7 linked regions of the Rattus norvegicus genome follow. The protein of the gene in region 5 purifies or fractionates together with the protein of the main gene of each other region. This does not show direct contact. Links are inferred from orthologs where the notes say so. Each region holds a gene or a part of one and is shown on either strand. Other genes may lie near its edges.

Region 1 (3,990 bases), on a different chromosome or scaffold from region 5:
AATGTTAGTAAAGATATCAAGTCTGTCATACCATGTTCAAACAGACTAACTATAATCTGTAAGGGACTTGGTGTTTGTTAAACAGGGTCTCATTCTGTGGGCCAGACTGGCCTGAAATTCACTCCGTAACCTAGGCTGACAATCTTGCCTTAGCCTCCTGAGTGCTATTGGGCATTAATATACTCAGCTCTAGTTTTTACCATTTAAATTATCTTGAGATAGGGGAATCTGTGTAATAATAGTTTCCATACCCTCCTCCTACCCCATCAGTAGAACTAAGTGAACTGGGGGGCTGGGAAATGGCAGTGCAGTGCCTGCTGGATAAGCATGAAGATGTGCATTGCATTCCCAGCACCACTCAAGCTAGATGTTGTGGCATTGTCTGCAACCCTAGACGGGAAGAAGAAAAAGGGTTGAAATACTCAGTTCCCTGCAGTTTGATGGCCAGGCTGTCTAGCCAAATCAGTGAGCCCCAATGAGACCTTTGATTAAGAAATGATATAGAAAAGTGATTGAAGATACCCCAAAGTCAAGTACTCTCTCTAGCCTCTACATGTACCAGCACAGGCAAGCGTAATACTCCTTCCCCTGGCACACATATAGCATAAGGTAGAAAGTGACAGATACCAACATCTCTGGTCTCCACAGTGAGATCATAGCACCGGCAGAGCTGTCTATAGCAGCTATTCTGCCTTCCATGTGTCTGACCTGCAATCTGACAAACATTTAAATTAGTTTTAAAGGAATGGCAGATATAATGCTTAAAACTGTAGGCTCAAGGAGCACTCTTAGGACTGGCATGTTAAGAAGTGAATCATACATAAAACTGAAATCTATTATCTCAGCCAAACACTTATAAAGTCATATTAAGATAGGCATTTAAGATCTAATTAAAATTGATGTAGCTTTGTCCAGCAGTGCCCTCCCTGCTGGTTAAGGATTTGAGTCCTTTTATAGGTCAGTGGATCTGTGATCCTTTCTAAGCCCACTGTAGTAATCTTAACTCACTGTGTTATGAGCAGGTAAGCATAGTCTTAAAACTCAAAAATATCAACCGCAGGACTTTTGGTGACTGCAGTCGATCAGTGCTAAAGTACAGTGGTAAAATCCGTTAGTCATGGCTATGATGAACACATTTGGAGTGAAAATTTTAAAAATGCTACGTATTTTAAATATATTTGAAACGACATTTTGATTCGTAAACTGAATGTAAATAAACCTGAAATTTGCAAAATTAAAAAAAACCTCAAAAATATCACTAACCCAATTAAGTAACTAATTTTTTAGCTTAATAACAATCTTTAGAGTATGCCAAGCAAGGTACGGATGGTGCCAGGCCTGTAATCTAGAATTTGAGAGGCTGAGGCAGGACGGTTTGAGTTCAAGGTTAGTCTGAGCTACAGATTGAGATCCTGTCTCAAAAGGTAAAGGTTTGGTGTGGTAGCACATGCCTTTAATCCCAGCAATCAGGAGGCAGAGGTAGGTGGATCTCTTATTTCAAGGCCAGCCTAGTCTTATAGAGTATGAGTTTCAGGACAGTCAAGAATACTCGAGAAACTCAGAGGGGGAAAAAAAGACAGCAAGGAGGGAAGGAAAGAAGAAACAGGGACTGGTAAAAATAAAGAGTAACCTTACCAAAACTACCATCCATTGGATAATCAAGAGGTACCAGTGGTTTTCTGGCTCCGGGTAAAGAGACAGCGGCACTAAAAGCCAGGGCATCTTCACACTGAGTTTCTTTTTGCTCAGCTGGCCTCTTCTGAGTCTCTTCAGCTTCATCCACATGAATGGTGAAGGCAGGCTGTTTACTGACTGCTTTCCATGAAGGAACAGTAGGGACGTGCTCATCGTTTATAGGAAGGTCCTTAAGAGGCGCAACCTAAAGAGAAGGAATTCTTTTTTAATACTTTGCTTCTTGCCCTGTGGGTACCAACTTTTATTTCCAAATACTCTTAAGAAAAATGTAAGTTCATGAGTCAAAGTCCAGGTAAGGTGAGTAAACCGATTTGTCACAGCCATTTCTACAAAGGCTATAAATGCAACGGATTGGAATTCCAAACTAATCAAAGACTAAAGTTAGGGGAAAGAACTGATTCACAACTTTAGCCTCAGGGTGGAGCAAAACAGCAAGTCTGGCTAAAATGGCGGAATTTACCAAGCAGAATACTTGCTTTATGTCCTTCCCTTAAGTAGTAATCTGTGAAGCAGATGGTGAGGGGGAAGGGATCTATATCCTACTGCAATGCCTGGCTTTAAAAGTGGAGGGAAAGGTACATGGCCGAAGTCGACACGCGGGGCACTGCTTGGTATGACCCTAGAATTTTTAGGAAGACCGCTCCACTAGTGCTGAAGGGCAGTATACACGGGTCCGCAGGGCTCGTGGGGCTATTTGGTACTAAAAACGCCCGGACCGCAAAGGCTGCAGCCCGACTACCCCTAGAAAGCTCAGCATGCTTTTTGGCCCTCTGGGCTGGTAAACCCAAGACCGCTTCCGCCCGGCCCTCCGACAGACCCCCGCGCCCTTTTACCCGCCGAGTCTTGAGCCTCTGCTGCGGCGCCGGTCCCCGCACCTTCCCGGCCTTCAGCACCGCCTGCGCCCGCGGCTGCTGGGCTGGCGCCACTTTTTCGGGGTTGACATTCTCCTGGTCTTCCTGCTGGGAGAGCAGGGCCGAGCCCGCCTGTCTCGAGTTGCCCGGCATTGCGGCTCCGGTCCGGATCCGTCGGCGGCAGAGCGTGCAAGGCGCCCGCCGCTCCCGGGCTGCGCGGGACCCTGGCGGCCGACGCACGGAGCAGGCGCTGCGGGAGGGAGGAGCGCAGAGCCCAAGTGCCGCGAGCCGCGCGCGGCCCGCCGGCTGTTCTTGTAGTTCAAGTAGCCCGCGACTATTGAAATGGACCAATGAGGGCGGTCGGGGCCAGTGACGTCACCAGGAGCGCCGGTCGCCGCGAGCAAAGGCCCGACGGGAATCTGGCAGGGCGGGCGCCTGAGGGACGCGCCTGCGCAGAGAAGGGCGGGGCAAGCGGCAGCCTTCCGCAACTCTCCGATCCTCTGTGGGTCTGTAACCTCCCAGGATCCTACCAGAGCAGCTGGGCGGACCAGACTAGCCCTCGGGGCCTCGGAGTGTCAGCATTCCTGTCAGCTAAGGGGTGTAGCGACTTCCCCTGGTCGCTGGGTGGCGCCTAGGCAGGACTGTATGGACTCAGCTGACTAGCCGCTCCCTTACCAGCTGACTAGCTGCTCCTCTCTCTCGGTGGTGCTGCCCATTCAACACAGGGAAACTGATATTTTTACTGTTTACTACTGCTTCGCCTCTCCTGTATATATTTTTTGTTTGTTGTTTTTGAGGCAGGGTCTCCCAGTTGTCCTGCGATTCACTGACAATCCACCCGCCTCGGTCTCATGAGTTCTGTTCTAGGACTAAAGGCATGTGTCACTATGCCTGGTATTCCAGTAAACTTTTCCTCGCCTCTAATAAAGATGGGTCAATTTAAAATGCCAACTTGAGCTATTGTTGGTACCAAGTGGTGTATTACAAGAAATTCAGATGTCCATTTATTTTGTTAATCCTTGGTTGTGACATCAAATAGTACACCATGAAGTTCCAGTGACCCAAATAGATATTACATTTAAAATGAACTGCATGAGTTCAAGTTAGTTCCAAGTCAGCTATTTAGTGAGACGATGTCTCAAGAGTAGAAAAAGTGTGCATAAGAAAACGGGGCAGCCAGGAGGCGGTGGCTAAACCTTTAATGCAGGCAACTCACCAGGCGGGTGGATCTCTTGTGAGTTCAAGGCCAGCCTGGAGGGCAGAGCTAGTTCCGGGTCAGCTACACAAAGAAATCCTGTCTTGAAAATCAAACCAAACCAAACCAAACCAAACCAAACCAAACCACCCCCACCCCCCCCACACACACACACGGAGGGAAGGAGGGAGAGAGAGGGAGGGAGAGAAATACAAAACCTTACTAAAATAAAGACCCAACTATACGTGC
Region 2 (3,237 bases), on a different chromosome or scaffold from region 5:
CTATGGTTTGTTTTTTTCTTCATGAGTGAGATATCAGTTTGCAATGAGTGCAGGGCCCAGGGAGATCTGAAGAGGTCGTCAGATATCCTGGAACTAAGGTTGAGTCACCTGGTTTTTTAATAGAAAACCAGCCCTTGGCAAAAGCAGCAAATGTTCTTTATAGCTAAAACCATCACTCCAGCCCAGTATGAATCATTTCCCAAAAAGAAATTGGGGGAAAGAATCTGAAATACCTTTCGTTTAATAAAATGAATTACATTTATTTAGAATGACTTACTGAATTGGGGATGATGACTTTACGCTCCCATGATGTAGCATGTTTCATGAAGTCTCTTTTCTTCAAGGTTGATACTCCCTCTCCAAGCCCAATGGAAACATCTGGATGTGCACCTGCCGAAGAATATCTGTGTCAGGCTTTCTCCGATGTGATTCTTGCAGTGAGTGATGTAGATGCAGACGATGGTGGTGATCCAAACCTCTGTAGTGAATATGTGAAAGATATCTATGCTTACCTCAGACAACTGGAGGTCAGTATTGTCATTAGCGTCTGCCTTTACTAACTGCAGCTACCCTAAGCCCTTACTCTTGCTATTTAAGATCCTCCTGGATCAGTATTCCTGGTGCTGGAATTAAAGGGAGATGCTGCACTATACCTGGTTTATCCCTTTATGTTATTTACTAACTAATTTAAAGGCTAGCCTGGAACTCACAGAGATCCTTCTGCCTCACTGGTGCTGGGATTAAAGTTCTGTGACATTCAATTCAGCTGTCAAAGAAATTTTTACTAACAGCGCACCTGACAATTTTTGACAATGAATACTATTTGTTACACTCAGAGCACTGTTGTTAGTTTTGAAACACTAAAAATAAAGTCACTAACCCCGTGAAGTGGACTTGCCACTTTGAATATAAAATGTCAGTGTTGGGAGATACCTTCCTAAAATAGACATACCATAGAGAGGGGGAAGTCCTACATGTGTGTGGTTCGAGAACGGGTTGGATGGTGCTAACAGACACTCGCTGTCCCACACAAGGCATTTTGTATCAGTGTGCGCTCGATTCTCTATCCAAGGTGGAAGTTGTTGGTCCCATCACCTCCACCTACTTGGAAAACTTTCTATCAATGGGACTTGCCCTTTTATCTTTTAAACAAGACATTCTATATAGTTCATGCAGTTTGATCAGGTTTAGACCCTCCCTGTCCCCCCAGTCCTAGGGACAGTCCTTGTGCGTGCTAATCAAGTACTTTGCCACTCAACTATATCCTAGCATTGTCTTCTCAGGTTGTCATTAGTTTTTTGGGTTTTTTGTTTGTTTGTTTGTTTGTTTTTTTATTTTTTAGTCTCTTTTGTAATAGTGTTTCCAAGTGTTGTTGTATGGGTGGGCACATAGAGGGGGTCAAATGACAACTTCCAGGGGTTGATTGATTGCCTTGTGAAGTGGCAGCAGTACATGCCTTTAATCCCATCACTGAGGAGGCAAAGGGAGGAGGCTAGCCTGATCTACATAGTTCCAAAACAGCCAGGGCTACACAAAGAAACACTGTCTTGAGAAACAAAAAGACAAAAGAATTGGTTCTCCTTCTGCCTTTATGTGGGTCCTGGAGTGAATTAAAATTCAATTTAAGGGCTGGAGAGATGGCTCAGTGGTTAAGAGCACTGACTGCTCTTCCAGAGGTCCTGAGTTCAAATCCCAGCAACCACATGGTGGCTCACAACCATCTGTAATGAGATCTGATGCCCTCTTCTGGTGTGTCTGAAGACAGCTACAGTGTACTCATATGCATAAAATAAATAAATCTTTAAAAAAAAAAATTCAATTTAAGTCAGCAGGCCTTTCCCCATGAAGCCATTTTGCTGACACCCATTCTTTGTAGCTAGTGTCTGTATTTTCTAAAGTAATGTTTAGTAAGATTCCTGGTTCCAAACTAGCTGTCTTCCTTTTTCCTTGTTAATACTTTTTTTTGTTGTGTTCTAACACTGCAGAACTGGGTTTCGTATTTGCGCTATGTTGGGTGTTTTGAGTGTATAACTTAGATCAGCTTTCCAGCAGAGTGAAAAGATCTGAGATGAGGATGGGTACAGGGTATAAGCTGCAGTCATTCTGGTTAACCGAATATCAACAATATGAAGAACCTGTTATGACTAACCTAAACCTTGCTTTCTTGGTGAACTTCTGTCCCAAGAGCTACTTGTTTTGTGTTAGTTGACTGGCCTTTGTGGACACAAACGTTATATGGCAGGATTGTTCTAGAATAACTGGCATTTTCTTTTACAGGAAGAGCAGTCAGTTAGACCAAAATACCTACTGGGTCGTGAAGTCACTGGAAACATGAGAGCCATCCTAATCGACTGGCTAATACAGGTTCAGATGAAATTTCGGCTGCTGCAGGAGACCATGTACATGACTGTGTCCATTATCGATCGGTTCATGCAGGTATGTGTGCTCCAGCCATTTGCAGTTGGTTCTCCGGTTGTCTTCTCTGAGAGTCTCAGAGGAGGGGGAGCAGGCCCTGAAGGTAGGCAGGAAACTTACCTGCTGAGCCTGAAACACCCTTTTCTTGGGAAGTCAGGTGTATCAGTTGAGAGGTTCGAGGACAGACTGAACTTGCCATTGCAGGACAGTTGTGTGCCCAAGAAGATGCTGCAGCTGGTTGGTGTAACTGCCATGTTTATTGCAAGCAAATACGAGGAGATGTACCCTCCAGAGATCGGTGACTTCGCTTTTGTGACTAACAACACTTACACCAAGCACCAGATCAGACAGATGGAGATGAAGATTCTGAGAGTTCTGAACTTCAGTCTGGGTCGCCCTCTGCCTCTGCACTTCCTCCGTAGAGCATCTAAAATTGGAGAGGTACAGACTTCTGGAGGAATTTTTTTCTTTTCTTTTTTTGTTTTTTTTTTTTTTTTGTTGTTTTTTGTTTGTTTGTTTGTTTTGTTTTGCCACATGAGAAAATACAGCTGCTAACATTTAAAAATAAGGCTGATGACCTAACTACATATCGTGTGGTTACTTTGAGAGTTTAGTCCCAGGCCTTTGTCAGTTACTGCTAACGGCTTAGAGTGGTGTGTGGGTCGTCTGTTCCAGGTCGATGTGGAGCAGCATACTTTGGCCAAATACCTCATGGAGCTCTCCATGCTGGACTACGACATGGTGCATTTTGCCCCTTCTCAAATTGCAGCTGGGGCTTTTTGCTTAGCCCTGAAAATCCTTGACAACGGTGAATGGGTAAGC
Region 3 (3,500 bases), on a different chromosome or scaffold from region 5:
TTAAAAGTTTACTAGGCTATATTTCAAACTGATGTACCACAAAAGAGAAGTTATAAATTCCACAGAAACGGTTACTTTCCCTGAACAAGTAAATTCTGAAAGTAATGTAAGGACAAAATTGAGAGTATTGTCAGTGCGGCTGGGCTTGCAGGCAGAGTCTTTTATACCATCACTGAGAGGCCCATGGGTCCCTGTGAGTGTGAGGCCAGCCTGAACTGCATAGCAAGTTCCAGAACAGCCAGAGCTAAGCAGTGAGACCCCATTTAAAAAAAAAAAAAAAGTTGAAAGGAAAAGAGCTAGTTAATGAGTTTGCATTTATTCATAACAGGCTGCTAGTCTCACAGCAGCAGTTTTACTATTAGCCCATGTCAGTGTTCATTAATGCAACCTACGACGGCCATATGATGCAACTAGAAACCAGGCTCTGCCTCTCTGACAGCCACATGTCACTGCCACATAGTTCTGGGCCAGCAGCCACCATCTCAGGTTGCGTGTACCACTTTCCTTAGAAGGAAACGAGATGGTCTGGACATAAAGGATTTACAGGAACGTAGTATTCTCTAGTATTTTTCTGTTTAAAAAGTGTTTCAGTTTTCTGTTTAAAAAGTGTTGGGGATTGAAACTAGAGCATGAAATGTTTATAGCTTGTGCTCCCCCCACTGAGTCATAACCCAGCCTTCAACTTTTCCTAGCAAGTATGTCAGAACTAAGGGGGAAATGAGTAAAAACGACTCAGCACAATTCCCCTTGACCATAACAGAGGGAGTTGTGCTTTTATTAGTTTGGTTTTTTTGTTGTTGTTGGGTTTGTTTGGTTTTTTGTTTTTTGTTTGTTTTCTTTTTTCTTTTTTTTTTTGCATTTTGTTTTTTTTTTTTTGTTTTGTTTTTTTTTTTTTTTTTTTTTTTTTTGCATTTTGTTTTGTCCAATTGAGGGATCTTATGTATCCCAGCCTGGCCTTGAAATTGCTATAATCAAAGATGACCTCCAACTTCTGGTTCTTCCACCTCTGCCTCCCAGGTACAAGAATCTTACTTCTGGGCCACCATGCCTTGTTTATGTGGCGCTGGAACTAAGCTTCCTCTATACTAGGCAGATACTCCTAAGTAAACAATATCCACAGCCCTGGAAAATTCATTTTAAAGATTGATTCAAAGCCAGCCGTGGTGGCACATGACCATAATCCCAGCACTTGGGAAGGTGACACAGTGGGGTTGCCTTGAATATCGCTCAGACCAGGTCAGGATAGATAGTAAGTTCCAGGCTAGCAAATTAAGACCTTCTCTATAAATAAATAAAGTCTTTTTTTTCAATGCTGAAATCTGTATAATATCAAGATTAGCCATTGTCCATTGTTATTGGAACAGGCTCTCGGCTATGTTTCCAGGTTACAAAATCCCTTGCCTCAGCCTCCTGTGTAACTAAAATGTCCCAGTACACACCACTACTCCTGTGTAAAGTCATTTGTTCAGTTAAATACTAGAATTCTGACCCAGTGAGAAACCACTAGCCCCATTATTGAAATTTTATCTAGTATTTTTAAATGGACATAAATAGCTTTTCAGTTACATTATTAGACACAACATGAAACTGATGGCTACCAAATTGGGCAGAACTAGAATATCAGAGAATTTCCAAGGTGCAGGTTCTAAGTGGCATAAACATGGTACTAACCAGTCTTAAAATATATACTGTAGAGTCTTCATAGGCTTCTGAGGCTGTGTTCTTGTTCTGAGTTTTGTGAGACATGTGTTCAGTACTGGGGTCCGGGTTTTCAGATGGGATGCAGAATTAAGCCCACAGATGCTCAGTTCATGAAGGACCATTGTTTCTGAGATTTGATCCTGAATTATTTTTGTTCCAGCTTTGGGGCGCCACCAAGTGTTGGATTTAGGTATGACATTTAGATGAAAAGATTAATGAGTTCTTAATGAACGTGCCAATATGAATTTCCTCACTGATTTCCCTTCCTTGGGAACAGAACACAGTGTTATTCTGGACTCCTACTTGGAAAACCTGATAAGCGAACTTGGTGGTGTGGCTTGGCTTGGTGAGGAGTGTATCCAAGACAAACTGTCCTGTGGAGTAGTAGTATTTTATCTGTGGTCCCATTTTTGCCTTGGCCCTGCCATATCTCCCTTCATAACTCAGGAATTATCCACATTCAATCCCAAGTGGCATAATTCGTTAATGGGTTAATGGGAGAAAATAGGGCTCTCTAACTAGGCAAGATTTCTTTTGGTTTTGGTTTTTGGTTTTTCAAGACAGGGTTTCTCTGTGTATCCCTAGCTGTCCTGGAACTCATTAGGTAGACCAGGCTGGCTTCCAGTTCTCACGTATCGGCCTGTTTCTAGCTCCTGGGATTAAAGGTGTGTCCCACCATACCCATTCAAGCTCTTCTTTTTTTTTTTTTTTTTTTTTTTTTTTTTTTTTTTTTTTGGTTCTTTTTTTCGGAGCTGGGGACCGAACCCAGGGCCTTGCGCTTCCTAGGCAAGCGCTCTACCACTGAGCTAAATCCCCCAACCCCACATTCAAGCTCTTCTTAAACATGATTTACTTGAAAACCTGCGTGACATTATAAAAGACTATATAAGGATGGAGGACAGGGAAAGCTGGTCCTACTGGGCCAGAATGAAGTGTCGTCCATCTGGCTTTATAAACTTGCCAATTGCTGTTTTTTTCCTCTAGTGAAGAGAGACTTCTACTGGAGGGAATGGCCGCCTCCTCATCCTCATCTTCAGCTGGTGGGGTCAGTGGAAGTTCTGTCCCTGGATCTGGTTTCAGTGTGTCCGACCTTGCCCCACCACGGAAAGCTCTGTTCACCTACCCGAAAGGAGCTGGAGAGATACTAGAAGGTGATCTCATGCTGTGTTTGCTGAATAATTGGCTTCAGACCTTCAATGCATGTAAAATGTAAAGGAGCTGGGGCTGGGGGCCCTTGAGTAACCTGACCAGGGTTGCCACTGGCTCTGGACCCTCTTGATCTCCTGCTCCAGGTGGTCTTGTAACGCCTGTTGATGTATCTTCTTTTTAGTGAGTATCTACCCCACCAGAGAGGCCTGAAGGGGAAATAAGAGTTAATGTATTTACCTCTGTGAAGGTGACTCTCATGGGCCACTGCCAGACATGGCTGTATGACCGCATGGTTTATAGCACTGGAGATAGATTTGCAGCCACCGTCTTAGCACACAGACTGGCTGGCCAGAAATAGGTCACGGGCAGCAGCCATGAAATGGTGTTAGTGACTGGAACGTATCGGATTCATGTTAGGTAAACTGGTGATTCATGGTAGAAGCATAAGACTCATGTGAGACACTGAACTTAAATATGTCTTGCCAGGCAGATGTCTCTAAGTTCTTCTTCATAGTGAGTTCCAGGCCAACTAGGGGTGTACAGTGAGACCCTCTTTCTTAAAAAGAGAGAGACAGAGACAGAGAGAGACAGACGGGGGGTGGGGGAGGGAAAAGAAAGGAAAGGAAAGGAAAGAAACAAAAGAAGCTAAA
Region 4 (4,009 bases), on a different chromosome or scaffold from region 5:
GGGCTGCCCTTGGTTGTTCTTTCGAAGGTCCTGAGTTCAATTCTCAGCAACCACATTGGTGGTTCACAACATCTATAAAGGGATCTGATGCTCTCTTCTGACATGCAGCTGTACATGCAGACAGAACATTCGTGTGTGTGTGTGTGTGTGTGTGTGTGTGTGTGTGTGTGTGTGTTTCTGTCATGATTTTTCTTAGAATAAATGGACTTTCTTTCGCATCTGTTTCTTTAAGATTAAGTGAATAGGACTCAGTTGGTAAAGTGCCTGCTGCGTGCCTTGGATACTATTCTATTGCCGTGAGGAGACACCATGACCGAAGGCAACTTACAAAATAAAGCACTTAATTGGGGACTGCCTTGCAGTGTCAGAGGGTTAGCCCATGATCATCACAGTAGGAAGCAGGGCATCAGGCAGTCATGCTCTGGAGCAGTAGCTAAGGCCTTACATCTGATCTGAAAGGTGGAGGCAGAGAGGGAGTGAGACTGGGCGTGGTGTGGGCTTTTGAGACCTCGAAGCTCACCCATAGAGGTACACCTCCTCCGAGGCCACTCCTTCTAATCCTTCCTAAACAATCCACTAAGTGGGAACCAAACAGTCAACTATCCAAGCCTACGGGGCCATTCTCATTCAGGTCACCACCATACTACGGAAGCATGAGAATGTGAGTTTTAACCCAGTATCCATGTGAGTTCGTTCTCTCTCTCTCTCTCTCTCTCTCTCTCTCTCTCTCTCTCTCTCTCTCTCCTGGATTAAAAAAAAATGAAAACAAACCTTGAATCTCAAATCTAAACAAACATCTTCAGTTGTTTAAATTTTATTTGCATGTAGTTACTTATTTTGTGGGAGTGAAAGGCACATGCTGCTGTCTCAGAGGACAACGTGAAGGAGTCTGCTCTCTCCTTCCACCATGGTGGACACAGGGGGTCCAATTTAGAAAGCTAGCCTTGCTGATAAGTGCTTCTACTCTTAAGGTGCCCAGCTTTAACATTTGAAAGTTTGGGTTTCTTCGTTGGCAAGTAGGGAATGAATGACAATTCAGAGTATTTATCTATTTTAGGGGAGGCTTTTTCAGACACTGTTTCTCTATGTATCCCTAGCTGTCCTGGACTCTATAAACCATGTTGATGTCGAACTCACAGAGATTAGGCTGCCTCTGTCTCCCAAGCGCTGGGATCAAATCACCGCCCGGCCATAAGTTGTTATTTTTTTAATTTATTTTTATGATTATCATGCATTCCTGAATGTATGTCTGTATACCACATGCATGTATGTGCCCATGGACACCAGAAGGAGTCGGATGCCCTGGATCTGGTCTTACAGACTGTTGTGAGCCACCAGGTAGGTGCTAGGAACGGAATTCTTCTGCAAGAGAAGCATGCAGATTTAACTTCTGAGTCGGCTCTCCACCCTTTATGGGAATGGCTTCAGCGTTGCAGTTTGTGACTATGCAATGCAGTAACGAGTTCGTAAACGCTTGAGATGTTGACAGTGGAGCCATCAGAGATCCAGCTCACTCCTGGACCTATCCTTTCTTTGTACTTGGATTTAGCGGGCCACTTGAATTGGTAAACCATGACTTGTAGCAAGGAATCTACTCAGCGAGCGACAGGAACACAAGCCAGCAGATGAGGGGGCGTGGCACCTTCCCCTGGAGCGCACGCGTAGTGGAAAAAAGTCAGCCCTTGGGCGCCTGATTCAAAAATTCAATTTTAACTGTTAGTTTTCCGCCTCTGCTAGGTTTATGATGAACTCCTAAACATTGTTGCTAGCCTCTGAGAGGCGTCCATTCTTCTTGGGTTGTCTTTATCTCAGCAAAACCACTATTCCTACTCGGATATTCCTTCTAGCGTGGTCAGTCCTCAATAAAATTTATCCTTTAATGATGGGGCAACCCCTTTCGCCTCACGACTGCCTCTTTTTACGCAGGCACATCCGTAGCAACCTATATCTTCGGGGGGCGGAGCCGCGTCTGGACCAGAAGGACCCCGCCGCCGCCGCCATTTTGGAACTTTCCCTGAGACTCGGCTCCGCTCCTGGGGGTTCTGTCAGCTGCTGCTGGGTCACGGTGTCGCCGGGCAGGATGAGTGTGATAGATCATGTGCGGGACATGGCGGCCGCTGGGCTGCACTCCAACGTGCGGCTCCTCAGCAGCTTGCTGCTGACCATGAGTAATAACAACCCGTGAGTGGAGGCGGGGAGCGGCGGTCTGGGAGCCGGGGCTGAGATAGTGGAGGACGCTGTGGTCCGGCTGAGGCTGCGCGGATAGCGAGGGCCTCTTCCGGTGGTCTCGGAGGACTGGCTATTTCCAGAACGACGCAGTCCTCTTGCTGCCTCCCGGAGACCCAGTCCACCCAGTCAGACATGGAGGTTCCGCTCTGGCGTAGGGAGGGAACCCCACTTTCGAGACTGGGAGCACCCTTGGCGAGCGTCGTGGCGCCTTTTTTTTAAAGGACTCTGGCAGCCTTTTGTAAGGCCCGACGCAGCCGCATTGTCGTGACTGGTTTGTTTTGGTTTGTTTACAAACAGGCTCTCCTGTAGCCCAGACGAGCCCGCAACAGACTGTGTAGTCGAGGAAGACCTTGCTCCCAGAAGCTGGGATCGCTGGTTTTTGCCCCACTGTGCTCGGTGTACGTGTGGTCCTGGGGTTCGAACCCGGGATTTCATGCGTGCTAGGCAAACCCTACCAACGGAGTTTACTGAGTCTAGACCGGTTTACTGAGTCTCAGTTGAAGCACGGGACAGTTGTGGCCTTGAGTGCCTGTTGGGCCTTGATAAAAATTCCCCATCATTGCTTCACCCTTCGACGTGGCTTCCCAAGTCAACCTATTCATTCCTTTCTTTGATTTCTCACCTTGCCCGAACTCTCAGTACAAGTTCATTCTCTCCGGGCATTGGCACCTGTGGCTTCACTTCAGAACTGCTTGCTTCCTGGTTCAGTTTTCAGCTCAGAAGCCTCTTCTTAAACGGACCTCCTAGCACCAGACCTTTCCACTTTGATCTTTCCCCTTCTCTCTTGCCATCTGTTGAAAGAGCAGTTTCCATGTGTGAGAAGCACTATTAAACTTAATGAAAGTGCGTGTCTATTACAAGGCAGTCCAATAGGTCGACCAAGATTATACTCCGGAGAACTTAGAGGAGCAAGTGGGTTTGAGTTCTGGTTGTCTGTGATTGGAGATAGTTTCTACTGCAGTCCACCACTGTGTATGTGTGTATATATACATATACATATATATATGTATATATACATATATATATATGTATATATGTATATATGTGTGTATATATATGTAAAATATTTACATATATATGTAAATATGTAGTTGTCTTCAGACACCAGAAGAGGGCATCAGATCCCATTACAGATGGTTGTGAGCCACCATGTGGTTTCTGGGATTTGAACTCAGGACCTCTGGAAGAGCACTCAGTGCTCTTAATCTCTGAGCCATCTCTCCAGCCCCGATCACCATCTTCTTAATGTGACACGGGACGCACTGGTCTCTGTCAGTCTTCTATGTTGATTCTGAGGCCTTTCCCCCTGGGTCTGAGTGATTCGTCATAGCAAATAGTATTGGGGATTAATGCTCTAATCTTTACTCTTGAGTCTTGACAGTGTGTTAGCATTGTCTGAATGCTCTTGAGTTTGCTTCTCTAGCTAGTCTGACTTTGGCTAATCCATGCTTGTTCACACTAGGTTAGATCATCAGTTTTCTTTAGCTACAGGAAGCATTTAAGTTCTGACCTGTATCCTTTATATTTTGTTATTTGTTGAAGAGACAGTGTATACACTGTTGAAAAAAGTTCAGTGGTAGAATTCTTACCTAAAATGTTTGAGACCATAGGTTTCATCTTCAGCACTGCCCAAATCGAAAATGGGCAAGTTGGTTGAACAATGTGTGTAATGTCACATAGGAAATTCAAAGAATGAAGGGTGTTTATGGAGTGGTTTGTTACAGCTTTCCTCTAGAGGTTAGAGTTGTACCTCAGACTTGGAGAGCCTCCCTGGCATGTA
Region 5 (4,073 bases):
AATTGTTCTGTTCCTCAGTGGATTCCGATGAAAAGTGGTAACAAAATCAGATATAACTCTAAGAGAAGCCACTGGAGGAGAATGGAGCTGGGTTCATAAGCATTCACACAATGGCAAGACTGAGGGTTTATACTGAACTGAGATCATCGATCAGTCCTACCAGATGGATTTCAACAATTTTAACCTGGAGACTTGCTTGCATCTAAATTAGGGTGTTTGTTCAGTAATAACATTTAGAACCTTTCAAAAAAAAAAAAACTACTACACATGACAAAATGTAGACTTTGCTAAGAAGGATGAGAACTCTCCCATCTTGCAGGATGGTCTTTGTACTTAAAACTGTCCCCCAGAGAAGTTGTGATCAACATATTGATTATTGAAGTTGCCTGGCAGTCAGTTTCTGTCCAAATTTTCTCACAAAATTGAATGTTTAGATAGCCATAGAATAAATCCTGCTTCCTCTTAACTGTGGTGAGTTTGTTACAAGTTAAGTGATTATTTAAATAGGATGAGAAGTCAAACTATTTGTCCCGTGTCCGGGAGGGTACAAACACTTTAACATATTTTTCTGTAAACAGTGTTTTGTTTTGTTTTTAAATGTTAATTTCTGTCCAATGTTAATTCTCTTTTAGTTTGCTAAACTTCTGCCTGATAGAGAGGGCTTTTTGTTGTTTTAAATTCTACTGTGCAGCCAGCGCTGAAAACTACTATGAGTGTCCCAAAGGAGGTGTGTGGATCGGGAGTTTTGATTAGAGCCTAAACCTGGAACAATCAAGGGATTATCTGCATTGAAGCAAATTTCTGAACAAACGGCAAAGACCTTAAAGGGGTTCCCACTATGAGTGTCCCAAAGGAGGTGTGTGGATCGGGAGTTTTGATTAGAGCCTAAACCTGGAACAATCAAGGGATTATCTGCATAGAAGCAAATTTCTGAGCAAACGGCAAAGACCTTAAAGGGGTTCCCACTTGTCCGCGTATACACCGTTAAGGATCCTTTGGAGCTTGCTGGGTACTAGGCAACCCAGAGTAGCGGACCTTCAAGGCACTAGAGCTCGCTCCGCCCCTAGCCACGCCCAGCCACGCTCCTCTCACTTCTAGCCCCGCCCACCCCTGCTGTAGCCCAGGCCAACTTTGCCTTAGGCACTCGCTTGCCGCGTCCACATAGCTCCGCCTCATATCAAGCCCCGCCCAAGTGCGCAGCCCTGCGTTCTCCCCGCCCCACCTGCGCGCCGCCGCTTTGCCACTCACTTCCTCTCGCGAGGACAACCTAGCGTCGGCGCCGGAAGCTTCCTCTGAGCGCGGAGGGCGGAGTGAGAGGGCGGGGAAGGCAGCTGGCTAGGAGTAGGCCGAGTTTGAGAGTCTGGCAGGTACCGCTGCTGGCAGGGCTTTGCGCCAAAGCTTTGTGGCCGGGTGCTCCGACGGCCTTCACGAGAGCGTCGTTGCAGGGCCGCACCCATGCTGCGCTTTCCGACCTGTTTCCCATCCTTTCGGGTGGTGGGAGAGAAGCAACTGCCGCAAGAGATTATTTTCTTGGCCTGGTCACCCAAGCGAGACCTCATTGCTTTGGCCAACACTACAGGCGAGGTAAGTGAGCTGGTGAGAGTTTGCCTATGCTGGGACTCTCGAGCCTCAGTTTCCCCTTTCGCAGACATGTTGAATCACATATCTATCCTGTCCCTACATCTCAGCGTGGCTGTTCACTTGAAGAGAAAGTGTAAAGGACCGTGCCTGCCAAACATGGTGTATATTCCATTTCCTGTATGGCCAGAAGAACAAATTCCCTCAAAGTTCTGCACACACAGGTCTCCATGAATTGATTTGGCCAGGGATGCAACATCAGACCCCGCCCAATTGGCTTTCAGATGAGTAGAGAATGAAGATGAACTGTCAGGTCCAACTAGAAATGTGTGTGTGTGCACGCGCAGTTGCTACGGAGGATGTTTGGTTTTGAATTTTTATATTTTTGTTACATCTAGCTATTTAAAAGATCTTTAAGTTGAGAGGCTGTGCTTCACAGAATTGCAGACAGAATGTGTATGAACATCGTCAATTAGCATTTCTAACATTAGAAACGTGAACACTCAGTATCAAGTATAACCAGAACATACCCAACTTTTTGTGGGGGAAAATTATTACCTGGCAGCCATCTTGAAAGGAACCCTTCAGCTGTGCCATTTAACATCTCACCTATGTAAAACTAGGTGGTAAGGAAGTCCTAGCATCCAGGGCAGTTTCGTGTGCCAAATTGCATTATCGTGTTGTGTGTCATGATGGCTCTGTCTCTAAGATCCATGGCTGGTGACAAAGCTAAGAGCAGTCATGGTTGTTATTTTACTATGTCACAGCTACCTTTTGATATTGTTTCTGTTACTTCTTTTGTTTGTCATCTGGGACAGCCTTCTTAACCTTTTCAAAAAAGTAAGCTTAAAAGATATGAAAGGGGCTGGAGACGAGCTCAGCCATCCAGAGCACATGCTGTTCTTAGTGATGACCTGGGCTTGGTTCATAGCACCCACATGGGTACTCGCACCTGTCAGTAGCTCCAGTTCCAGGGAGAACTGATGCCCTCTTCTGGCCTCCTTGGGCACTGGCTGCACAAATGTGATATAAATATATACATGTACACACGTGTACTTTTAAAAAAAATGAAGGCCGGACAGATGACTCAGTGGTTAAGAGCACTGACTGCTCTCCCAGAGGTCCTGAGTTCAAATTCCAGCAACCATATGGTGGCTCACAACCATCTGTAATGAGATCGATGCCCTCTTCTGGTGTGTCTGAAGACACCTACAGTGTACTTAAAAAATGAAAATATGTAGAGTGCAGGTCTGAGTTGTGCCCTCTGAGTTCATCCATTTCTTTGAAAATGTCTTACATTCATTTGGACACAGTTGCTTTGTGGACAGCTAAATACTCAAAAGTGGTAATTAAAGTTTGTGTTCTGGGGGTCTAGGTTCATTTTATTTCTGCAGATGAGTTTCTGCTATTACATCTTTTCGTCTTAGGTTTTACTGCATCGCCTTGCAAGTTTTCATCGCGTCTGGAGTTTTCCACCAAATGAAAGTACAGGAAAAGAAGTGACCTGCTTGGCCTGGAGACCAGATGGCAAACGTATGATAATGCTACGAATGTGTATCTTTTATTTTCAAAAAGGATATTCTAAAAAGAATACATTTTTCTTGGCACATTTTAGAATTATGGTTTTGTTTCTGTTATATAGGTCTTACCACACAACCCCGACTGACCTAGGACTTGCTGTGTAAACCAGGCTGCACTAGAACTTACAGAGACTCACCTGCCTCTGCCTCCCCCGTGCTAGGCTTAAGAACATGTGTTACCTACCATACCTGGCCCTATATTAGAATTGTAAATACTAGTTTGAGACTTTTTCTTTTTAGAATGTTTAAAATATTTTTCGTGAAAGTCTGTTGTTGGCAAGGATAACTCTTTATCAAGCCCTGGCTTTGTGGCAGATAGGATCGCAGTCTGACACAGTTATAGACCACTTGGCTTTGGTTCTCTCTGCTCTCTTGTCCTACATCATTTGACCCAAGTACCGTTCACCACTCATGGGTCAGTTCAGTGCCATCACAGCCCTTTTCTCCCCCAAATTCAGTTGGCACTAAATGTGAGGTTCATAAATTTTCTCTATGTAAGGCAGTTTACCACTCCCGAGAAACCTCCCACTGGGACTCCATTTCCCACAGGTCTTTTCCTGCTGTTGTTGTTCAGATCATTCATCTTGCATGGGTGTGTGTGGGGGTTGCATGCGTGTGTCCAAGTGGGTGTGGGTGGGTATGTGATTTGTTTAGTTTTTTAAATTGATAGTTTTTTGAGCAGTTATTCCAAGTGTTAGAATAGTAAAATGCTATGGGCTACAGCTTGTGGTCTGTAAGTCACATAGGGCTCTGAATAACAATGAATGTGGCCCATGGCCCAACACAATTTTTTTTTAAATATTTATTTATTTATTTATTTTGTGTATGTAAGAACGCTGTCTCTATCTTCAGACACACCAGAAGAGGCCATCTGATCCCATTGCAGATGGTTGTGAGCCACCAAGTGGTTGCTGG
Region 6 (4,178 bases), on a different chromosome or scaffold from region 5:
TTTTGTAAAACTTAAAAAAGCAAATCTAGCCTTTGGCATGGAGAGTACCTTAACTATGTTAGCTATGATAGTGTGGACTAATGCTGTCACCATCAGCCACTACACAGGACAGGAAGGCCTAAGGAACTGTCCCCTACCTCCCCACAGGAGGAAACAGCATCAGCAGATACACATTCTAAAGGGACATGCATCTGTTTATAAATCTCTAACCCATTTTAGTTTGACAACCTCCTTAACTGATCGCTGAGGACGGCACAGTGAAAGACAAGAAGCAGGGACAAAAATTACCTAAAAATGGCGCTGCATTCCAATGAATGAATATAATTCATGAATGAAACGAAGATAATTCGTTTCATCGTATCACTAAGCTACAGCCTTTAAGAGTAGGTGTAAATAGTTAGATAATTAAAGCCATTGATCTTTGACTTACAAAATATAAATACAAAATAAATGCAAATGTTCGAAGAATTGTACAAAGAGCACCTACCCTGCTTTAATAAAGTAATACATTTTAAAACTCTAAATTGGCCTCAAGAAAGAGAACTCAAAAAGCCAGGCGAGGTGGTGCAGATCCTTAACTAGCAGGCAGAGGTAGGTCCATCTACAATGAGGCCAGCCTGGTCGACCAGAGCAACAAAGGAGAGCCGGTGCTAGTTGGAGAGAAAGGGGATCGCTTTGAGCAATAAGTGTACAGTTTATAAATGAAAACTCTGTAACCCCACGATTCTGTGAAGTACAAAAGCCCTTTCCAATCAATCCATTCACGGTCAAGTGTCTCCGCGTAAAGCGTTGTTATCGAACTGCTCTTTCAAAACTTTCACTCGACTTGAAAGCGTTCCGCAATTCGCCTGCATCAGGGGTTCCCGCACCTTTCCTACGAACATTACGAGGGAACCCTGCGGACTTCACGCTGAGTGGCTAATGCTAAGGCCTGGTCCTACACCCGTAGCAGCAGGGTTCCTCCCCGGGAGCGAAGCAACCCGCCCTCCCGCTGGCCGTAGCACCTGGCCGGTCAGCTCAGAGCCCCATAGGGAGGAGACGGAGGAACCCAGGGACGCAGCGGCCGGACAGCAGTGGGCGTGCAGTGGAGGCCCCCGCGGTAGGTGGGCCGCAACGAACTGCGGCCCCGGGCCATGCGGCCAGAAGGTTAGCGGCACCACGGTGGCCAGGGCCGCAAACGCACAACAAGCCGCAGCTCGCCCGTCTTAGGGGCATGCGGTCGGTTACGGAGCGCGCCCCCGGCAGAGCGCGCCCCGGGGCCTGCCCGCCGTTCCTCTGACCGGGAACGCGCGCACGTCACAATAAATCGACGTTCGTCCCGCCCCCTACAGCAGCGAATGGACTCACCTACATACGGGGTATGAGAGCGCCGTGCGTCACGTGACCCGGAAGAAGGGCGGGGCCCGGAGGAAGCCGACGCGCGCTCTGTGGGTAAGGGTTTTTCGCGCCCGCCGCCCGGGTTTCTGAGAGTAGCCAAGCGTTCGCCCTCGACTTCAGAGTCGTTCAGCGCTTCCAGAAGCGCAGGCCGGTACTCTCAACCGACCTTCAGAGCCACTTCTTTACTGCACGCTGTGCGGAGTGGAACGGAGCACCCATGGCGACGCTCGACCTCCCCCTTGCACTTCCGCACGTAGTAGCTCCAGCACTCGAACCGGAAACGGCTGCAGCGGGTGGTTCTGCGTCTAGTGACCCAAGATGGTGGCCTGCGAAGGCCAATTTTAGTATCGGCCCCCGTGCTTTTAGCTTAGAAATACATTTACAAAGCTGTGATTGTGAAAATACATAAAACGTGAGTATGTCTCATAGGACGTACGCATCTAATATCTAGAAAGAGATGTCTGGACAAAAAAACTCCTGTTGTCACATATTGTGCTCAGAGATCAAGACAATCTGAGAGCTGAGAATTTATCTGGAGGACCGGGCATAGTAAGAGAAGAGTACAAAAAGTTTAAGAAACCTAGAGAGGTTATGCTGTGTCGTAAGGGTTTGGGGCATTGCCTGTGCTTGCTTTTCCCAGGGGGAGCACCCGATCACCTGACCCAGGAAAATAGATGTAGACTTCAAAGCCCTGCCGCGGTTCCTGTTGTTTAGAAGGACGAGCAAGCATAACTGATGAAGTACAGTGGGTGGGTAAAAAGCAAGCCGGTTTGTAGGCATGTGGGAGAGGGTCGTGTTAAAAAACATTGAGGCCGGGCTCAGGGAGTTAAAAAATCATGAGGCCAGGCTCAGAGAGATGGCTCAGGGGTTAAAAACACTGTCTACTCTTCTAGAGGTCCTGAGTTCAATTCCCAGCAACCACATGGTGGCTCACAACCATCTGTAATGAGATCTGGTGCCCTCTTCTGGTCTGCAGGCATACATGCAGGCAGAGAGCTGTATGATATATACATAATAAATAATTAAAAAACAAACAAACAAACATTGAGGCCAGCTTGTTGAAAGATTGGGAATCACCGCATTACCACTGGAGACAGTAGGACTCTGCCAGTCAATCACAAAGCTGACCTAACTTGTTTCATAGATCATTTAATGTGAGCAACAAAGCATTCAAGGACAAAGAGCCTGCTAAAAAACTGGAAGGAAGTCAGAACACTTTAGAAAAGGATGCAGTCTGTATAGGACTGGGAAAATCAGTACAGGAAAGAATGAAATGTAGCCCAAGACACAGCTATAAAAACAAAAGATTGACAGGAAAGGGGAGGAAACTTGTCAAGCCCTAGAGGAGTGACTAGAAGTGGCTCTTCAGCTAGCTTTGCATTATCCACTAGCTAGGGTCTGGTTAAGTCTGAGGAAAACTGCTAAGCCATCACCTGGTTTTCACTCAGCAGGAGGAGCTGACCACCTTTGGCTTCAGTGTTTGTATGCGGGTGTGTGGTGTGTCTGTGTGCATGAGCAGACAAAAAAGGTGTGGTTTCTGCCTACAGGTGGAGTCGTAGATGAGTGTAGAGGTCAGAGGTCAACGTCTGTGTCTTCCTTTATTACTTTGAATCTTAAACTAAACCTGGAACTTTCTGATTCAACTAGACTGCCTGGCAGCCTCCCGGAGGACACAAGTGTGTGCCATCGTGCCAGGCTTTTTACGTGGGTGCCAGCAATCTGAAGTCAGGTCCCTTGTTTGCACAGCAAGCACTTCAGTCCACTGAACCTCCTTCTGGGCCCCATCTTGTTTAATTTTTTAAAGTGAAAGCCCTTTCCCTCCTGCAGACTCGGTAGATAGTGCTAGCTTTGCCTTTACACCATTGGAGACAAGCACATAGCCGTATGGCAAAGTTTGTTTCTTGCTTGAGTCTCCCTTCTCTCAGAAACAGCAGTTCCTGAGAGAGCTACTGGTGCTAACCCTTAGGACCTTTCCTTGGGTTGCCACTTTGTGGCAAGAAGCACAATAGGCTGTGTCTGTGATAAGGAACAAACTTGGAAGCCAGAAACCCAAAAAGCACTGCTTGACGACCAGTCTTTTGAGTTAGACTGCAACAGTTTGAGGAGAAACATGTGAAGCAGTCTGTGGTCAGGGGCCTAAGCAAGCATCCTGAGCCTTTGGAACAGACACTGAGGAAAGCCAACAAGACGGCCTAGTGGCTTACAGGCAACCTGAGTTCAATCTCTGGGACCCACTTGATGGAAGAAGAGAACCAAAATCGCCACGTTGTCCTTTGACTTCCACATGTACATACACAAATAAACAGGGTTTTTTTTTTTTTTTTTCAAGAAGGATGAAGGCTGGATGTTGGGATCGCAGCACAAAGATCCCTGCACCCACAAATATCCAGGGAAAATGTTAAACGTGCAGGATTGTTTTTCCAATGGTAAGATGTAAAACCTGTTCTTCTATCCAAAGAGCTGGGAATTGGAAGTGATTAACAGTCCTGTAATCTGAGTGATCTGTTGGGCCAGACCACATCAGGCTCCTACAGCCAGGGCGAAGGTCGCTGATAGCCCAGGTGAACTCTCTTGCTGTATGACTGAGACCTTCCTTGGACCCCAGTACCTATCTCTAGAACCCGCCTTCTTGGAAGGAATGTCGTGGACCCTAAGTGCAGTTTTAATGTAATTACACTTTCTTGTGCACCAGAAATTGTTATACCAGGAAACTCTTTTTCAAATCATACCAGTTTAAGTCCGTTAGAAATAAACCTCCTGGCATCAAACTCCCCAAGTCTAAGCCAGACTGGTGAAATTTC
Region 7 (4,164 bases), on a different chromosome or scaffold from region 5:
TGATCCTATAACATGACTCATCAGAGGGGCACAGTCGTGTACACCTGATTCTAGTACCAGGGAGGAGGCAGAAGCAGTGTGAGGTCACAGGCAAGAGTGTAGTGGAAAGATGAGAATGTGGTTCAGTGGCAGAACAGTTGCCTAGCATGCAAAAAACCCTGGGTTGGATTCCTAGCACTGTTAAAAAAGGGGGGGAGGGGGTGTGTGATTTTCAACTTGCATCTTACCAGACGTTATATTAATATTTCCTGCTTCAATGCCGGCTTTGAGTCCTTCTTTTCCCAAAATCCCAGACTCTCCTTTGGCCAGGCGTTCCCGCTCTTTCTCTTCCAAGCTTCCATAATAGATGTGTGGTTTCTTCACAACAGGAGCAACTAAATCGTCAGGTGCTTTAGTTTTGGTTGTCTGTTAAATCAAAGACCCCGATTAAGGTTTGGTCCTAGCAAACCATGCTTTCCAAAAGAATGAAGGAAATGCTGAGCCTTCATTTTATTTCCTCTCACAACTAGGACAAAGTCGAAAGTGACTTTGCGCCGAGCTCACGCTCTCGTTAAATTTGGCACACAATTACAATTAAACAATTTCTGTCTGATATGTCTTGGTTTGTTTTGGGGCCTGTTACTTTAATCTATTCGAAATGCAATCTCCGATTTTACGAAAATAACTTCTCGCCACTGGACATACACCCAAAACAACCCAAACAATTCGGCGCACCAAGTCACAATGTTACTGGAATACACATTTCAAATACTTTCAGAGCCTATTAGAAGTTGGGAGGCCTCATAAGTACCAGTCGTACAGCTTACGTCAAGACACTGCCCGATTTCAAAGAACTGTGCTTTGGAGCAGTCAGAAAAAGTGTTGTTCACTGCTCAGGGCTTAAGTAAGAGCAGTGCAAAAAGAGCTGCAGTTTAGGCGTTTAGAAATCAGGAAAAGGCTGCTAAGGTCCACACCACGGTCCCCCAGCCTTCCTCCTCCTCCTCCTCTGCCCGGACCCGTAAGGTAACGGCCCTTTCCCACGGGGACCGCGTCCTCCCTAGGAGAGGATAAGCATGAACTTAGATGCGGAACTCCGTACCGTGGAGGAGGCTCGTGAGGAGGCCATGCCGGGCTCTGGAGCCGCGAGGCCCTAGCCAAATCCCGTTCTGCTTTTCAGACCGGGAACCGCGCGCCTAGCAAAGTGGAAGTGCGTCACTGGCCGGAAATGTACCAGTTCGTGCTCTAGGAGTCGCGAAGTATCTTGGGAGTGGTAGTTGCCAAGTGTCGGCTGTCATCGATGGGCGTGGCCTTATAGAGCGGCACAACCTCTCGGGAGAAGAGGCGCGTGGGAAAAAAAGGCGCAGAGCAACTTGGGAAGTGTAGTTCGGGCTGCGTAGCAATGGAGTCAAGGTGGGAGTTGAGGTTCTGGGAAGCTTCAGAGGCCTGAAAAGAGGTAAGTTTGCGAATCGCAAGTCTAATCTGGAACAAACCAAGGGTCTCTGCTCTCCTTCGGGAGGCCTTCCGTCATTTTGAAACCGAGGCCTGTGCTGCCATTGAAATCTCTCCCTAGACTTCTGCAGCATTGGAGCTGGGAAAGAGGACTGTTGTTCACGACGGAAGTTCTCCGGGGGCCCCTGGTAACTGGGTGGCTACGAAGTGATTTTGTGCTTTAAGAAGACATTAAACTCGAAGAGCCTTCTAAGGCTAAAATAGAGATGTGGTGGAGGAGCTGCGGCCTAGTTTGTTGTTGTTTTACTTGTCTACAGCCTGTTCTTTTTATATGTTCTTTGAAATAAAGGGTCCAGGGAGGCGCCAGATAAAGTGTATACCAGCAGCTGCAGTTGCAATGATTGCTAGGCCGTCAGAGATATTTTTTTTTTAAACCCTTACATGAAAGTTGCGGGGATTGCAAAATATTCGCGTTTGCTGAGCTGAACAGACTCATTCTCACTCTTAAGCCTCTTTCTTCCCCGAACAACTCCAGTTAGAAGAGCACTTCCACTTCGAGGGCTTACTAAATGCCACGTTACGCGCAAGGAGCTTATTCTATCTTAGTTATTTAAGTCGCGGGACAACAAGAGTAAAGATCAGAAAATAAATTCTGGTGAGAAAAGGTAATCCGTCGTTCTGGAGCCACAGTGTAGTAGGGTTAGTAATGTGGCGGGTGGACTGCCGCGCTTTTAACCCGTACTCACTGTTGCTCTCTAGTGGTGAGGCTTTCAGTTCATACCCAAGTAGGAAATTATTTTTCTTAAGTATTTCTTCCCTTTCTCTTTGGAGCTGGCTTCCATTTCTCTACTTAGGGATCTGGTAGAAGGTAGTATCTGATAGAATAAAGCAGTTTGAATTGTCACAGGCCAGTGTTTTGTGTTGACCATATGGCCCCTTGAGATGTGATATAATGTGACACTCCTGAGAGAAGTGTAAGAAGTGTAAATGTTTCGTATACATCGTAGTCTTTTGTTTCATTCTGCTAGCATGCAATAATAATTTATATGGATGCACACTATATCGGAACTTTTTTTTTGCGGAACTTTCACGAAGATCATTATCACAACTTTTTATTCTAGTGGTCTATGAGTAACTTTTATAGGAGGCTATTTTGTTTTTTTTTTGGAAGACAGGGTTTCTCTGTGTAGCCCTGGATGCCCTGGAACATGTTCTGTAGACCAGGCTGACCTCAAACTTACAGAGATCTGCTTGCCTCTGCCTTCAGAGTGCTGGGATTAAAGGTGTGTGCCACCACCACCCGGCTTCTGAATTTGTTAATTAAACTGTTTGCTTCAACTTTATAAAACTGGAATAATTTTTCAAGCTTCCCAAGGCTTCTGTATTAAAGTAATATAAAGAATGGGAATGTGGGTTGGTTCAGTCGTAAAGGAGCCCATGCTAAGTGTGGTGTCCTACATAGTAGATGGAGAGAACCAACTCCCAGACATTGTCCTCTGACCTCTGCCTGTGGGCTATGTGCTTTCACCAGCACCCAACAAATAAATAGAACAAACTTTTTTTTAAGAGGCAAAAACTTTTGAGTTATCAAAGTGAGAAGAAAAACCAATAATGGGAGAGTCTAGAATTTAAGAAAAGTTAGTTTCACTTTCTCTATTTTTTATGGCTCAGTTTACTTTGTTGTGGATGCTGTGGAGGACATAGAGACAATACCTTCAACAGATACTAAAGTCAGCTTAGGTTTTCTTTTTTTCTTTTTCTTTTTTTCGGAGCTGGGGACCGAACCCAGGGCCTTGCGCTTGCTAGGCAAGTGCTCTACCACTGAGCTAAATCCCCAACCCCTTAGGTTTTCTTCTTAACTTTTGATTGATTCTTTGTGAACATCACATCATCCACCCCAGTCCCACTCATCTCCCTGTCCCTTTGCATCTGCCCTTGCAACCTCCCCCCTACAATAAGAAAATAAGATAGAATAAACAAAAATTTGTCATGGACTCTGTAGCACATCATGGTGTATCATGGAGTATACCCGTTTGTCCACACACCTAAACTTATAAATGCTCATTCAGTGCAATGAGTCATGGGCCTGTTTTAGGGCCTCTGGCTTTTGCTACACTATACTGGAACCTCACTAGGACTCCTCTCAGATATGTTGTTGCCCTGTGTCATGGAGATGTGACCCTGCAGCTTGTGCAGATCATAGATGGGGTAGATGCTGGGGTGGGCCAACTCAGAGCCCTGGATTTGGTCCTGGGAGGTAGCTGAGTTGATCAGCCTGCCACCTGTATCTGCACCATCCGGGTGAACTCTCCAACACTGCTCCAGCTAGTTTACCCAGTGCCACAGCTGGCAAGGGGGAGTGTCAGCTCTCCTGTTCTCAGGTCTTCAGGGACTACCTCATCCACGCCTTTCACCGGGGCTAGCTCTACTGCTGCCCAGGTGAGTTGCAGGGCCCACTCTACCGGGTGCTGCCAGCTCAAGTGTTTGTTCTGAAACAAACATGGGCTTTGTTAACACAAACCTTCATTCTCCATATGAACTTCTCTGACCTTAAGTCTGTCTGCCTACCCTTCAAATTCACTAAGACACCTTTTCCCATAGGGAATTGAGATCCCTAGCCACTCTTAGGCAGCCCACCCTCGGCTAGATGCTCATGCAGTGCTGTTGAAGGACCCTCCTTAGAGTTCTGTTTTTGCCCTAGATTGGCATGGTCTGTTGTGTTGTGTTTTCCCCACA

The links.
Region 1: the proteins of Anapc4 (region 5) and Ccna2 purify together in Homo sapiens (affinity purification with western blotting; 3 studies listed by BioGRID). This does not show direct contact. The link is inferred for Rattus norvegicus from reciprocal best matches to the Homo sapiens genes ANAPC4 and CCNA2.
Region 2: the proteins of Anapc4 (region 5) and Ccnb1 purify together in Homo sapiens (affinity purification with western blotting; 3 studies listed by BioGRID). This does not show direct contact. The link is inferred for Rattus norvegicus from reciprocal best matches to the Homo sapiens genes ANAPC4 and CCNB1.
Region 3: the proteins of Anapc4 (region 5) and Anapc16 purify together in Homo sapiens (co-immunoprecipitation; 10 studies listed by BioGRID and IntAct, with this or other methods). This does not show direct contact. The link is inferred for Rattus norvegicus from reciprocal best matches to the Homo sapiens genes ANAPC4 and ANAPC16.
Region 4: the proteins of Anapc4 (region 5) and Anapc7 purify together in Homo sapiens (affinity purification with western blotting; 14 studies listed by BioGRID and IntAct, with this or other methods). This does not show direct contact. The link is inferred for Rattus norvegicus from reciprocal best matches to the Homo sapiens genes ANAPC4 and ANAPC7.
Region 6: the proteins of Anapc4 (region 5) and Anapc13 purify together in Homo sapiens (affinity purification with mass spectrometry; 9 studies listed by BioGRID and IntAct, counting the BioPlex papers as one, with this or other methods). This does not show direct contact. The link is inferred for Rattus norvegicus from reciprocal best matches to the Homo sapiens genes ANAPC4 and ANAPC13.
Region 7: the proteins of Anapc4 (region 5) and Cdc26 purify together in Homo sapiens (affinity purification with mass spectrometry; 11 studies listed by BioGRID and IntAct, with this or other methods). This does not show direct contact. The link is inferred for Rattus norvegicus from reciprocal best matches to the Homo sapiens genes ANAPC4 and CDC26.

The regions. Positions count from the first base shown.
Region 1 is NC_086020.1:121,358,897-121,362,886, forward strand, and holds the start of Ccna2 (cyclin-A2), read right to left. Parts: upstream 2,801-3,990; 5' UTR 2,700-2,800; coding exon 2,529-2,699; intron 1,880-2,528; coding exon 1,636-1,879; intron 716-1,635; coding exon of another isoform or gene 628-715; intron 1-627. UniProt on the Homo sapiens protein: Cyclin which controls both the G1/S and the G2/M transition phases of the cell cycle. Functions through the formation of specific serine/threonine protein kinase holoenzyme complexes with the cyclin-dependent protein kinases CDK1 or CDK2.
Region 2 is NC_086020.1:33,648,989-33,652,225, reverse strand, and holds part of Ccnb1 (G2/mitotic-specific cyclin-B1), read left to right. Parts: intron 1-344; coding exon 345-527; intron 528-2,277; coding exon 2,278-2,436; intron 2,437-2,619; coding exon 2,620-2,856; intron 2,857-3,090; coding exon 3,091-3,231; intron 3,232-3,237. UniProt on the Homo sapiens protein: Essential for the control of the cell cycle at the G2/M (mitosis) transition.
Region 3 is NC_086038.1:28,478,090-28,481,589, reverse strand, and holds part of Anapc16 (anaphase-promoting complex subunit 16), read left to right. Parts: intron 1-2,685; coding exon 2,686-2,852; intron 2,853-3,500. UniProt on the Homo sapiens protein: Component of the anaphase promoting complex/cyclosome (APC/C), a cell cycle-regulated E3 ubiquitin ligase that controls progression through mitosis and the G1 phase of the cell cycle.
Region 4 is NC_086030.1:39,818,815-39,822,823, reverse strand, and holds the start of Anapc7 (anaphase-promoting complex subunit 7), read left to right. Parts: upstream 1-1,209; 5' UTR 1,210-1,338; intron 1,339-1,924; exon of another isoform or gene 1,925-1,926; 5' UTR 1,927-2,080; coding exon 2,081-2,181; intron 2,182-2,197; exon of another isoform or gene 2,198-3,141; intron 3,142-3,303; exon of another isoform or gene 3,304-4,009. UniProt on the Homo sapiens protein: Component of the anaphase promoting complex/cyclosome (APC/C), a cell cycle-regulated E3 ubiquitin ligase that controls progression through mitosis and the G1 phase of the cell cycle.
Region 5 is NC_086032.1:62,367,773-62,371,845, reverse strand, and holds the start of Anapc4 (anaphase-promoting complex subunit 4), read left to right. Parts: upstream 1-1,273; 5' UTR 1,274-1,455; coding exon 1,456-1,584; intron 1,585-3,005; coding exon 3,006-3,111; intron 3,112-4,073. UniProt on the Homo sapiens protein: Component of the anaphase promoting complex/cyclosome (APC/C), a cell cycle-regulated E3 ubiquitin ligase that controls progression through mitosis and the G1 phase of the cell cycle.
Region 6 is NC_086026.1:112,083,027-112,087,204, forward strand, and holds the start of Anapc13 (anaphase-promoting complex subunit 13), read left to right. Parts: upstream 1-1,378; 5' UTR 1,379-1,431; exon of another isoform or gene 1,432-1,620; intron 1,621-1,649; exon of another isoform or gene 1,650-1,789; intron 1,790-3,711; exon of another isoform or gene 3,712-3,803; intron 3,804-4,178. UniProt on the Homo sapiens protein: Component of the anaphase promoting complex/cyclosome (APC/C), a cell cycle-regulated E3 ubiquitin ligase that controls progression through mitosis and the G1 phase of the cell cycle.
Region 7 is NC_086023.1:80,872,527-80,876,690, reverse strand, and holds the start of Cdc26 (anaphase-promoting complex subunit CDC26), read left to right. Parts: upstream 1-1,364; 5' UTR 1,365-1,432; intron 1,433-4,160; exon of another isoform or gene 4,161-4,164. Other genes in the region: Prpf4 (U4/U6 small nuclear ribonucleoprotein Prp4), read right to left, coding at 228-405, 1,079-1,105. UniProt on the Homo sapiens protein: Component of the anaphase promoting complex/cyclosome (APC/C), a cell cycle-regulated E3 ubiquitin ligase that controls progression through mitosis and the G1 phase of the cell cycle.